Arabidopsis thaliana: one gene and its partners. The protein of the gene in region 1 interacts with the protein of each later gene in a pairwise test. Each region holds a gene or a part of one and is shown in the gene's direction. Other genes may lie near its edges.

What was found. Proteins that work in one complex are often made in the same cells at the same time.
Region 2: the proteins of AT2G30020 (region 1) and PYR1 interact in a protein complementation assay, tested with the Arabidopsis thaliana proteins (one large-scale study listed by BioGRID).
Region 3: the proteins of AT2G30020 (region 1) and AT1G52550 interact in a protein complementation assay, tested with the Arabidopsis thaliana proteins (one large-scale study listed by BioGRID).

What each region holds. Positions count from the first base shown.
Region 1 is NC_003071.7:12,812,523-12,817,298, forward strand, and holds AT2G30020 (Protein phosphatase 2C family protein), read left to right. Parts: upstream 1-1,748; 5' UTR 1,749-1,914; coding exon 1,915-2,418; intron 2,419-2,695; coding exon 2,696-3,382; 3' UTR 3,383-3,838; downstream 3,839-4,776. UniProt on the Arabidopsis thaliana protein: Protein phosphatase that negatively regulates defense respones. Inactivates MPK4 and MPK6 MAP kinases involved in stress and defense signaling.
Region 2 is NC_003075.7:9,926,770-9,930,734, forward strand, and holds PYR1 (Polyketide cyclase/dehydrase and lipid transport superfamily protein), read left to right. Parts: upstream 1-1,817; 5' UTR 1,818-2,022; coding exon 2,023-2,598; 3' UTR 2,599-3,106; downstream 3,107-3,965. UniProt on the Arabidopsis thaliana protein: Receptor for abscisic acid (ABA) required for ABA-mediated responses such as stomatal closure and germination inhibition. Inhibits the activity of group-A protein phosphatases type 2C (PP2Cs) when activated by ABA. Can be activated by both (-)-ABA and (+)-ABA.
Region 3 is NC_003070.9:19,571,896-19,575,746, reverse strand, and holds AT1G52550 (uncharacterized protein), read left to right. Parts: upstream 1-1,687; 5' UTR 1,688-1,747; coding exon 1,748-1,991; intron 1,992-2,410; coding exon 2,411-2,562; 3' UTR 2,563-2,992; downstream 2,993-3,851. Other genes in the region: AT1G52560 (HSP20-like chaperones superfamily protein), read left to right, coding at 1-260, 546-964.

The sequences.
Region 1 (4,776 bases):
TATGGACATGGAACTTTGGTTTCTTTACAAACCACGGTTAATCGAATCTCCTGTTATATGGACATGGTATATAGAATGAATATGAATCAGTAAAAGGTTTTCTGAATGGATATATTTAAATGGACTCGTTATTATGGACACCAAAAAATTGTTTGTTGATTTTTCTTACAATTTGCAGAGACCCCACCTCCAATACCTTATGGACATAGAACTTTTACCAAATTCCTGAGATAATCGAGATCAAATTGTTTAAGAAACTTCTCCAAAAGTTATGGAGACGTGGAGAGAGAGAGAGAGAGGCGCTACAAATCATGGAGAGAGAGAGAGAGAGATTTTATTTATTTTGGGTAAGGATCGTGGAAGAGGAATAACAAAAAAGAGAAATTAAGAATTAAAAACATAAATATTGAATTGAGGGTAAAAAAGTCTTTAAAAAAAAAGAATTAATAGAAAAAGTGTCTATTTCCTATAAACTGCCTCAAACGGAAAAACATTCTCTAAAAGTGCTTAATAGTGGAACATTAATCGCATGACAATATAATAAGACGTAAAATTTTTGGTCTTATCATATGCAAATACTTATTAATAAGGAAATTTTGGTCTTATAATATTGCAAAAACTGATTTTTCTTTGTTTACTATTCATCCCTATCACAATTCACAACATTAACAAAAACTTTCTAATGGATTTTTCTTCAACTCTAGAACATTGCAATTCCTTTTCAACTCTAGAATATCAAATACCGTTTAAAAGACAAAACTATCAGTTAATGATGTCACAAATTACTCAAAAAATTAACACTCTCTTAATAAGAAGAAGACTTGTATTTTAATAATAAGAAGACCTCGTGTGAAACGAGATCAATTACAACTTTATGTATTAGACTTTTTGACAAATTCACAACGGTCATCAAATGGAAACAAACAAAACGAAGGCTCCTCTTCAGGCTCTCAACGGTCACTTGCTTAGAAGCTGCGACTACGACAAGCAAAAATACTCATCCAATGAAAACGACGACGTATAGAACCTAACGGTCGTTTTAAATTCTTTAAGATTCTATTTTTCATTTAATTTAAAAAGGAGAAGAAAAAAAAAGTGAGTCATCAATGAAACACTTCTTTAACACAGATACGTTACCCACATGCCCAATTATTAGCATTCGTTTCCTTTTAGACGTGTTTTTGACTTCATTTGAAATGTCTGTTTTAACCTCACAGAGCAAACCCAATAAATCGCTTACTTCATCGTTTTAGCTATTTTAGACTGTGAATGACCGTTTTACCCTCCAACATTCTCTTTTGTACTATCTGCTGTGTTTTATTGAATTTTATTCTACGTTACAAAGGGCCTTTCTTCTTATTTGCAATACTCCTCTTTTTGTTTATGATAGTTCTAGTCTACTAGACATAATTTGTTTTTATTATTAAATTGACATAAAGTTACCAAAAATTGAATGATTCTTATTTTGGTTATGAAAAAATATTGGAATAAAAAATCTCATGGATATATACATTTTTCATTATTAAGAAAAAATGATATTTTCCTTTATTTTGCCAACAAAAAAAAACTGGTCAACAAGAGTAGGATTCAAGCTAATTTTGTTTTCCTCAAAATAATATCCATTTTGTAGAAAGTAAAAGGACAACATAAATAAAGGAAATGAAAGTTGTAAGGGCATAAATGTTATTTACAAAGTCAAAGAGACTGAAAAACTTTGAATAAAGCTCGATAAACACGGACTCTAATTCATTCAATATTCATTACCTTCTTCTTTCCTTTATATTTAAAAACCTTCTTCTTCTCTCTCTGTACATCGTCACAACAAAAAAAAAACAGAAGGAGAAGAAACAAAAACAATAATCTCAGCAAAAACAAATCTCTACTCATCGAAATCGAAATCAAAATATAGAAACGATGTCTTGCTCCGTCGCCGTATGTAATTCTCCGGTGTTTTCACCGTCGTCTTCTCTATTCTGCAACAAATCTTCGATTCTCTCGTCACCGCAAGAATCTCTTTCTCTAACGCTTTCTCATCGCAAACCTCAGACCTCTTCTCCTTCCTCTCCATCCACCACCGTTTCTTCTCCTAAATCTCCATTTCGTCTCCGTTTCCAGAAACCTCCGTCCGGATTCGCTCCTGGTCCATTATCTTTTGGATCTGAATCTGTTTCTGCATCCTCTCCTCCGGGAGGTGTTTTAAAGAGGAAACGACCTACAAGGCTTGATATACCGATTGGTGTTGCTGGATTTGTAGCTCCGATTTCTTCATCGGCCGCTGTGGCTGCGACGCCGAGAGAGGAGTGTAGAGAGGTTGAGAGAGAAGGTGATGGTTATTCTGTTTATTGTAAGAGAGGAAGAAGAGAAGCTATGGAGGATCGTTTCTCTGCTATCACCAATCTTCATGGAGATCGTAAACAGGTAATTTTAAATTTCAAATTCATTTTTCAGTTTTGGTTTAGAATTGAATTGAATTGGTGATTTTGATTCGATTGATTAGCAATTACAGCTCAAATTAGGGTTTATCATGTGAGATCTACATTGATTGGGTTAATAAGCTATCTAAAATTAGGGTTCTTTGGGGAAAATTGAAATTCTGAATAGAATTAGAAGTTTTACAGAATCATATGAAACAATTGTGTGCTTATTGATGAATCGTGTATTCTAAACGTTGTTTTGCTTTGTGATAATTTCTCAGGCGATTTTCGGAGTCTATGATGGTCATGGAGGAGTTAAAGCGGCTGAGTTTGCAGCTAAGAACTTAGATAAGAACATTGTAGAAGAAGTAGTTGGTAAGAGAGACGAGTCTGAGATAGCTGAAGCGGTGAAACATGGTTACTTGGCAACAGACGCGTCGTTTCTTAAGGAGGAAGACGTTAAGGGTGGTTCATGCTGTGTCACGGCTCTGGTTAACGAAGGGAACCTTGTTGTGTCTAACGCCGGTGACTGTCGTGCTGTTATGAGTGTAGGAGGTGTAGCTAAGGCTTTATCTTCTGATCACCGCCCGTCTAGAGACGATGAACGGAAAAGAATTGAAACCACGGGAGGATATGTTGATACGTTTCACGGTGTTTGGAGAATCCAGGGATCTTTAGCTGTGTCAAGAGGAATTGGAGATGCTCAACTTAAGAAATGGGTTATAGCTGAACCAGAGACAAAGATTTCGAGAATCGAGCATGACCATGAGTTTTTGATCTTGGCATCTGATGGTTTATGGGATAAAGTGAGTAACCAAGAAGCAGTAGACATTGCTCGTCCTCTCTGCTTAGGAACCGAGAAGCCATTGTTGTTAGCTGCCTGTAAGAAGCTTGTCGATTTATCTGCTTCACGAGGCTCGTCTGATGATATCAGTGTGATGTTGATCCCTTTACGCCAGTTCATATAGAAAAGAGAGGCATCTTAGAAGATTTTAGATATATGATAAACGTTAGAAATTTGGAGGTTTTATATGATTTAGTTCTTTTGTTTAACTTGATCCATTCATTTATTTATTCTTTCTAACTTAGTGAACAAAGCTAAACTCATTGTGGCTTATGATTACTTGTATGATTCGAGCATTGGCCGAAATTAATCTAATAATCGGTTCGTTATATATCTTGTCATATGTTTCAAGATCCTGCAAATTTCTCTACAGTACAATACCAACACAGTGCTTGGAAGAGATTGACTCAATCTGAATCAAAGATTCCTTGTTTTGATGAATTTCAATTCACAACTCCAACATACATGAAGTTCATATTGAGATGCAACGTGAAAGAAATCGACATGACAAGTGATCCTGGTCAAAGAGTCACACGGCCAATATTGTTTTAAAGTGGAACGAAGGTACAAGAGAAGTTGATCGAGAAAACAAGTTCAACCATAAAGAGAGTTTTCTTAGGAAAAAGGAGAAAAACAAACAAAGTCCTCAAGTTTGACAGGCTAACATAAACCATTGGGCCGGACACAAACCCGAATAGCCCAAAATATATTATTTGTTCACATGTGTAGTTTAATTAGTTTTGGTCTTGGATCTCAAATTCTCAATCTGTTTTCATGCAAACGTAAGATATGTTTTTATTTTGTCTACTAGTTAAAATCTCGTTAAATCTATTCATTTTCGTGTTTTTCACATTCAGTCTGGTTAGACATTGAGACCAATACAAACCACTTAGAATTTTGGCTGTGGTTGACATATATATCCTAACAATGTTGTTAATTGTGACAATGTTGACATGGATTAAGAACCATAATTTTCGATGAATTACATATTAACAAGAGTGAAATGATGTGCAAATTAAATTGAACATATACATTTTATGTACATATAAGAAACAAGCAAAAACAAATATGTGCGGTGATAATGATTACCGACATGGATAAGCCGATAAAAGGATAAGAAAAATAAAACAAAAGATTGAGTTTGTGAAAAGAGGAAGAAGACAATGGTCAAAGAAAGAACGTAAAAACAACACGTGAATTACAAACACATGTTTTTGTGTTGTAGGCGGAGAACACGTTGTTGTTTTTTGTCTTCCAATGGACCCCAAAAACGGCACGTTGTTCGGCTTTTTCTCTTTTGTTCTTGTTTTTGTTTCTCCAACTCTAATTTCTTTTCTTCTCGTATTTAACTTTACCAAACCAAATCTCCGGAAAATTAGCATTTCAGTCCCACACACATCATGTGTTCTACCGATTCAGTGTAACTAAACTTAATGTAACATAAGTTGTGTTAGTTCACTTAATTTAGCTTCCATCTATCAGTTTCATTTATTTCACTGTTTTTTTTTTCAAAAACAA
Region 2 (3,965 bases), on another chromosome or scaffold:
ATTACATTTTAATATTAATATTTTACCTTTTATTTTTTTTGTTAATAAAAAATAAAACTGCATACTAATATATTTTTATAACATGAAACAGCATAGAATTTTTTTAATTAAAATTCATCAATGGGTCTCCCAAGAAATGGGCAAAGCATTGGGCTCCTACACATGGCAAACAATTCCAAAAAGGAGATAAAAACAAAAAATGAAGCCTTCACCAAATGGGAGGATCAGATCTTGTTGAAGACCACTAGCAATGATTCGAAGCAATAATACCAGCAAATACATGACCTACGGCGTTGCGGCAGTGGCACTGAACCGGAACCATCGACGGAAGTATTCGGTTCACATCTCCGCTCCCTTTCCGACGACCCACCATACCCGCAACAAGTCTCACACAATGTTTAAGCTCAATTTCCGACAAAATTGTTAGTATACATATACTTATAGACCAAGTGGATTGGATATCGTTAGTTAGTCACATTCTTTTCTTTATGATTAAGCCAAACGCAAGCTTGACTAAACTAATCATTCTCTACTTTTACTAAACACAGCTTGCGCTCCAGCCCCCACCCATTTGTTGAGTTCAAACTCGAAATCTTTCTTGTCTTCCCTACATAATGTATATATCATGTAAATTTGTTACCAATTCTTTGATTCTTTCAGTAATCAACAAGTGCTTATAAACTCAATAACAAGGTGTTTGCGTAATAAATATATTAAAAATAATTTTACTACTTTTAACTTCAAAATTAAAATGGCATCCTTATGAAGGGCTCTTCCTTGTCAAACTTGTTCATGCCTTTTTCTTATCAATCTGTTCTCGGAGCATTTTCTCTGCGAGTTTTCTCTTTGAAGTCTCTTCCCTACCACCTTGCTAAAAGATTCCTCTCCACTTGTTTGTTCCTAGTAAATCTTGTACTGTATAATAAGGTCTCTCTCGGATGTCCTCTTCCACCGTTTCTCTCCCAAAATTTTCTCCCTACAACTTTTTTTTAAGAACAAGTGTGAATCAAGTCCAAAAAAGTTGATCTTTATATCATCTTTTTAAAAACTCCTCTTAAAATGTTATTTATTTAATGTTTATTAAATATAATATATTTCTCTTTTTTATTTTTTTAATTTTATTTTTGAATAACAGGAGGTTCTGGACCGAAGTCCGTAATCCCTCTAGACCCGAAACCACATAATGTAATATTAGTTTCGTCTCAAGCGTCACTCGAACTGGCGACCTCTAAGGTTCGCCTAAAATCTTTACCAATTGAGCTAACGACACTTAATTTATTTTTTTAATAATCACAACTCCTTTGCATATATATTTATTTTTAGTTATAAAAAAATCTTTTTATTTTATTGTTAAAGAAAAATAATTTTATTGTTGCAAATTGTAGATTTGTCAAAGATTCATTAGATTTGTCACTAAATATAATACCCAACCAAAATGATATCTAAAAGAATTAATGAAACGTGAGTATATTTGTTTTCAACGACTAAAGAAACATATAAACAAAACTTATAAAAATATGAAATTGTTTTTGATAATTTCAAATGACAAAATAAAAAACTACAAACAATTTTCATCTCTAAGATTTCATTTTTTTCACCAAATAAAACCTACGAATATGAGTTCTTAAACAATAAAATAAAATCACCACACTCTTTAAAAAAAAAGAAACTTATACGAAAATAAGACTTATTCTCTTGAATAAGTAACAAATCCAATAGTTTATAACAGAAACTCCAGGTCATCTTTCTTTAAATATAAACAGATTCCATTTTTTGCATTATACACCCTTCCACTCTCACGTATATATATTTCTTACTTTACCCTTACTATTTAATATAATTCCATGTTTACCCTTCATCTTCCCTCTAAAATCCAACACAGAGAGATTTCAACGCTAAATAAAGAGAGAGAGAGTCTAAAAGCTCGTCGTCGTCTTCAATGGTGAATCTCAAACCAATTGGATAAATAAAACAAAACAAAAAAAACTTCACAAAAAAAAAAAAAAGATCCAAATTACAACCATGCCTTCGGAGTTAACACCAGAAGAACGATCGGAACTAAAAAACTCAATCGCCGAGTTCCACACATACCAACTCGATCCAGGAAGCTGTTCATCACTCCACGCGCAACGAATCCACGCGCCTCCGGAACTCGTCTGGTCAATCGTACGACGATTCGACAAACCACAAACATACAAACACTTCATCAAATCCTGCTCCGTCGAACAAAACTTCGAGATGCGCGTCGGATGCACGCGCGACGTGATCGTCATCAGTGGATTACCGGCGAACACATCAACGGAAAGACTCGATATACTCGACGACGAACGGAGAGTTACCGGATTCAGTATCATCGGAGGCGAACATAGGCTGACGAATTACAAATCCGTTACGACGGTGCATCGGTTCGAGAAAGAGAATCGGATCTGGACGGTGGTTTTGGAATCTTACGTCGTTGATATGCCGGAAGGTAACTCGGAGGATGATACTCGTATGTTTGCTGATACGGTTGTGAAGCTTAATTTGCAGAAACTCGCGACGGTTGCTGAAGCTATGGCTCGTAACTCCGGTGACGGAAGTGGTTCTCAGGTGACGTGAAAATGAAGAAAAAAATATGATTTAATTTCTTTTATTAAAAACAAAATCCAGAAATGTTATTTATGTTGCTTCGTATAAGATTCTCTTCTTCTTTTGTCTGTTTTTGCTTTTTTAACCTCATATAGTCATATTTTTACCATTTTCTTATGATGAGAATGACGTGCAAGGTTATTTTGGGCATTTTATGTTTGTGGATAACTATGAATCTTTCCATTTTCGTTAGGTATATTCCGGCGAGTAAGTCAAAATTTTCGGCTATGCAACAAACTCTCATAAAAAGTTACAAAAAAACTTACTATAAAGTTACCAAAGGTTTATTTGACACAAAAAAAAAAAAAGTAAATAACCATTCGTGTAAGGTTTTACTTTTCTTTGAATGTAAAAAAAAAGAAAGGTTTTCCTTTTCTTTTCCTTTTGTTAAAAAAACATGGGGATAAGATTTTTTTCACGTGTTTTTTGCTGTTATTGCTTTAAGTATGGTAGATTTAGTGTGTGATTCGTATGAAATTGTAATTACTTTTCATAGATTTCGCTTTTTTATCGATTACTTTTACATAATGTCCATGAACAAAACTTTAGTTTTTTTTCCCATGAACAAACTTTGTAACATATCGGTTGCCAAAAAAAAAAAAAACTTTGTAACACATGAACTCCCGATTTATTAACCAAACAACAACTTTTTTAAGAGTGGTAAAACGATAAAACAAATTGTGAAGGAAGAGATAGAGAAGACTAAAAAAACCATAAGTGGAAGTGTTTTAAGTTTTAACGAAGATGGTTTTAAAAGTGTGTGCCGTTTTTCATTCAGATTCGGGTTACCTTTTGCACTATAGTCAGGCTAGTGTCCCACTTGACTTGAATATATCACCATCATGTTTTATATAATTTATTGTTACAAAATTTGATGTGGGGAATCCATTATATGATACTATAACAATTTGTATATTTTATTATCGAATTTCAGCTGGATCGAGACAATAGCGAAAGGCCACTTTTATATTTTGTATAGTACTATTTTTAATTTCCTATTTGCAAACTTAAGACGAAGATCTTCTAATTAAGGCAAAGGTGATGATGATGTTGGTGCAAGTTGTGCCAGCTTGGTTAAATGTTGCAAGTTGCCAACTTGGTTATTAAACGCCGACACAAAGGTAGATTGAAAAATTAGTAGTATTATATTTGCGCAAAAAGTGGAAAATGAAGGAATACTACTAATTGCATGTACTTGAAGTCTTGAAGTTGATGATGGATGGTTGAGCCAATTAGAAGATCGATATTTTGAGCATCCTCACCTACTTTAATCATTATCATCGTTAACGTCAAATCTTTCTTTCATTTTTTTAGTTACGACAACGAGATCTAAATCT
Region 3 (3,851 bases), on another chromosome or scaffold:
TTTGAGAAACCTTCAACAAAAACTGTCTCCTAGTTTGATGGGTCAATCTTGTGAAAGAGGTTTGGTCGGAAATCGACATAATCCAATGAAGCTAAACAGATTCATGGCTACTTCGGCTGGTGAACAAGAGGATAAGATGAACACAGAAGTGAGTGTGTCTGAGAAGAAATCTCCTCGACAGAATTTCCCCCGGAGACGTGGCCGAAAAAGCCTCTGGCGTAACACCGACGATCATGGCTACTTCACTCCCACCCTAAATGGTACGTTTGTCATTTTAGTTCATTATTGATATACCTATTTAGCAGAAAATTTCAATAGTGTCACAATAATAATATTTTCGAAATAAATTATATAAAAAAAATTCAACATTTAAGTGTAAAATATATCCCATAAAAGAAAAATTAAGAAGAAAATTTGAAATTCTAGAATCATAAAAATACATCAAATTTTAAATTTACATTTTCATTGCATTAAATCTCATGAAACATAATTAATGTAAACCTCTATTTTTGCTTGAATTGAATTTTTTCTTCTTCTTAAAACAGAGTTCTTTCCTCCGACTATAGGAAATACTCTGATACAAGCAACAGAGAATATGAACAGAATTTTCGACAACTTCAACGTGAATCCATTCCAACTAATGGGTCAAGTGAAAGAGCAAGACGACTGTTACAAGCTCAGATACGAGGTTCCAGGGCTAACCAAAGAAGACGTGAAGATCACGGTAAATGATGGAATCTTGACGATTAAAGGAGATCACAAGGCGGAGGAAGAGAAAGGCTCACCTGAGGAAGACGAGTACTGGTCTTCAAAGAGTTATGGTTACTACAACACGAGCTTATCGTTGCCTGATGATGCTAAGGTTGAGGACATTAAGGCGGAGCTCAAGAATGGTGTGCTTAATCTTGTGATTCCTAGGACGGAGAAGCCAAAGAAGAATGTTCAGGAGATTTCTGTTGAGTAGAAGAGATACGGTGTCGTTTTTGTGTTCTTTGATGGACTAAGCAAATTAATGTTGTACCTTTTTTATGTTTATGCGAATGGAATCAGTTATTAAGTTGCTAATTAACTTAGTTCATTTGCGCAAACAAAAGAAGCTAGAAAATACATTATAGACTAATTGAACAAGCAAAGAATGAACCAGTTTTGTGTTTGTAATGAGAATGGAATAAATTGTTATTCAGCATAGTTAATTTTCGCAAAAGAAAGAAGCCAAAATTAATTAAAAGAAGCAGCAAATGTTGTGTCCCTTTTATGTTTTCTATGCGAATGGCTCAATGGAGTAAATTGCTAATTCACGTCATGAACACAAAAATGTTGATATATTAAACAAGAAGTCCATTTTTGTACCTCATATCAAAATTTTATTTGTAAATTTTGTATTAATAATTGTGGATTTGCTATACTATACTATGAAATATTTTTCTTTATAGACAAGTTATGTTATACATTAAATTATTTATTTATTAATAAGTACAGTATTTTAGTGTATTGTCAGAGTTCAGTTTCTTTAAAGAAAACACAATATTTTTTTTTTTTGTCGTCAAGAAAACACAATATTTATGTTAAACAAAAATGCATGATATTTCAATAGTTTGTGGAAAATTATAGAAAATATTTCATTTTCCTTCTTTTAGTTTGGTATTAAGAAGGAAAAAACCAAAAACATTTTTTTGATAATGTATACATAAATTAAAATTAAAATAATGAGAAAACAAAACAAGGTCCAAAATACCTTGTGAAGAAAATGGCGACGGCGTTTGCCAACACGACTTCAAGCTCCAACCTTTACCTCCATCGCTGCCGTAAAAACCATCCTCTTCCATCTCCGTCGTTCTTTTCACCGTTCCGGTCGTCTCCACTTCCTTCTCAGACCCTTTTCCTCGTCCCCACTCCAAAACCTGTACGACGCATCGCGGTCGCTCCTCTCGGCCCTCCAACGCCGCCTAGTCCCGACCCACCTCCGCCTAAAAACACGACTGAGCTCACAAGTTCGTCTTTCCCTTCTTACCCTTAAAACTTCAATGTTTCAACTCTGAGTTCTGATTTTGTTTACTGCCAATTCTATTTTTCAATCTTTCCTAATTCGATGAAATTGCATTACGGAATTCGAATTAGGAGAATGAAGGTGGTTTAACTGCTATTGATTCGTAGATAAAGATGTTAATCTTAGTCCTCAAGATCGATTACTGTTCATTGCTAAAGTTTTGATCTTTGTGACAATTTATAGACTTTTACTCTTGTTAAGCATTAAGGATTTATAAATCTCCTCCTTTTACAACTTGTGAATGTCTTCCAAAAGTTCCACCATTTTCTTTTCCCTACAGGTTTAGTCATTGGTTGCAATACGAGAGCAATCTTCTTAACAATTTGGATTCATAGTTGTTGTTTGGTATCACATTTTGTGTAGGTCTTGTGGGAGTAGCGTCGATGATTCAAGACCGTGTAAAGATCTTTCTTTCAGTACTAATTTGGATCTCTCTCTTCTTTTGGGCTTCGGCTTTACAAGGAAGAGGCAGCAAAGGTAATGGTAAAGGGAAGAAGGGTTCACGCTTCAAATAGTATTAGTTAGATTGGTGTGGTGATGATGATGATGATTGATGAAAACTCCTCTACACGTTTGTGTATATATACAGAGGAAATATTCTTCCAAGTAAAGCAAATTTCTTGTCAGACTACAGTTTTATACTAGAAACTAGATTGTTCTCTTCTTACGATATCTCTAGCTTAGAGCTATAGAGATTACTCTACTGTGATGAAACTAAAGTAGTTTGCATTTAAGTCAAAATGCCAAATCAATATCATTGTTTATTGAAAGCTGTTTCAGATTGTAAATGACTAGATGTGTTTGGTGTGTGCTTGATTCAGCCAAACGGTAAACCGCACCGTTTCTTTGATTTGAATGTTTGTTGTATAAAATGGGCCTTTAGATATGTTATATAACTTGTTTGGGCTTCAACATACTCTTTTATTGGGCCTCTCTATATAATATAATATTTCCAAAGTTGTATTTAATTATTATTTGATTTATATTTAAAACAGTGGTTGTTTATTCATGATATGAAAAAAGAAATAACTGGATTTAGGTAAACCTTATTCAATACTGGGACAATGAATTAACCAGCTCATGATTAGTTGGACCTGTTTTGGTTAAAGGCTGGTAGTAAGTTTAGAAACAGAAATTTATGATAAGAGCCTAACATTTTGTTCTGACCACACTGAGTAATTTAACAATCTATCTAAATTAAGATTTTATGCTATGTTTAATTTATATTTGTTCTGATTATAGCAAATAAATTTCCATATCTAGAGATCTTCTTCATACACAATAAAAAAAACTAGTATTTGAACTTTTGTATGTATTAAAAATTGCAAGATTTTGTAAGTACAGATTCACCAAGGTGAGGTGTGTGATTAGGAAACTTTGATTAGTTGTCATGTGTCATCAACAGGCCATGAAAAGGAAATCTTTGAAATTCAAAAAACAATACCTTTTGATGAAATTATTACTATATAAATACTATATGTGACTATGTGTGGATATGCACAATCATTCCCACTAATAGTTTAATAAAGTGTATAATTTTTTTCAAATTAAAACAGCTAAACACACACAACCACATTCAAAAAGGGGTTAAGCATTGAAGAATATTCTAAGAAAATTTGTTTCTCTTCTTACAGAAGTAAAAGCGACTCTCTCTCTCATTAAGCATCAAAGGAGTTTCGTTTTTCTTGCTTTGCTGTTACATTCTTCAGGAAAAAGGCGTTACCTTTACTCTCTCTGCATCAACGAGGAAGCGTGTAGAGCTAAAGGAGCTGAATTTGAGAGATTTTTTTGTTTTGTTTCTGGG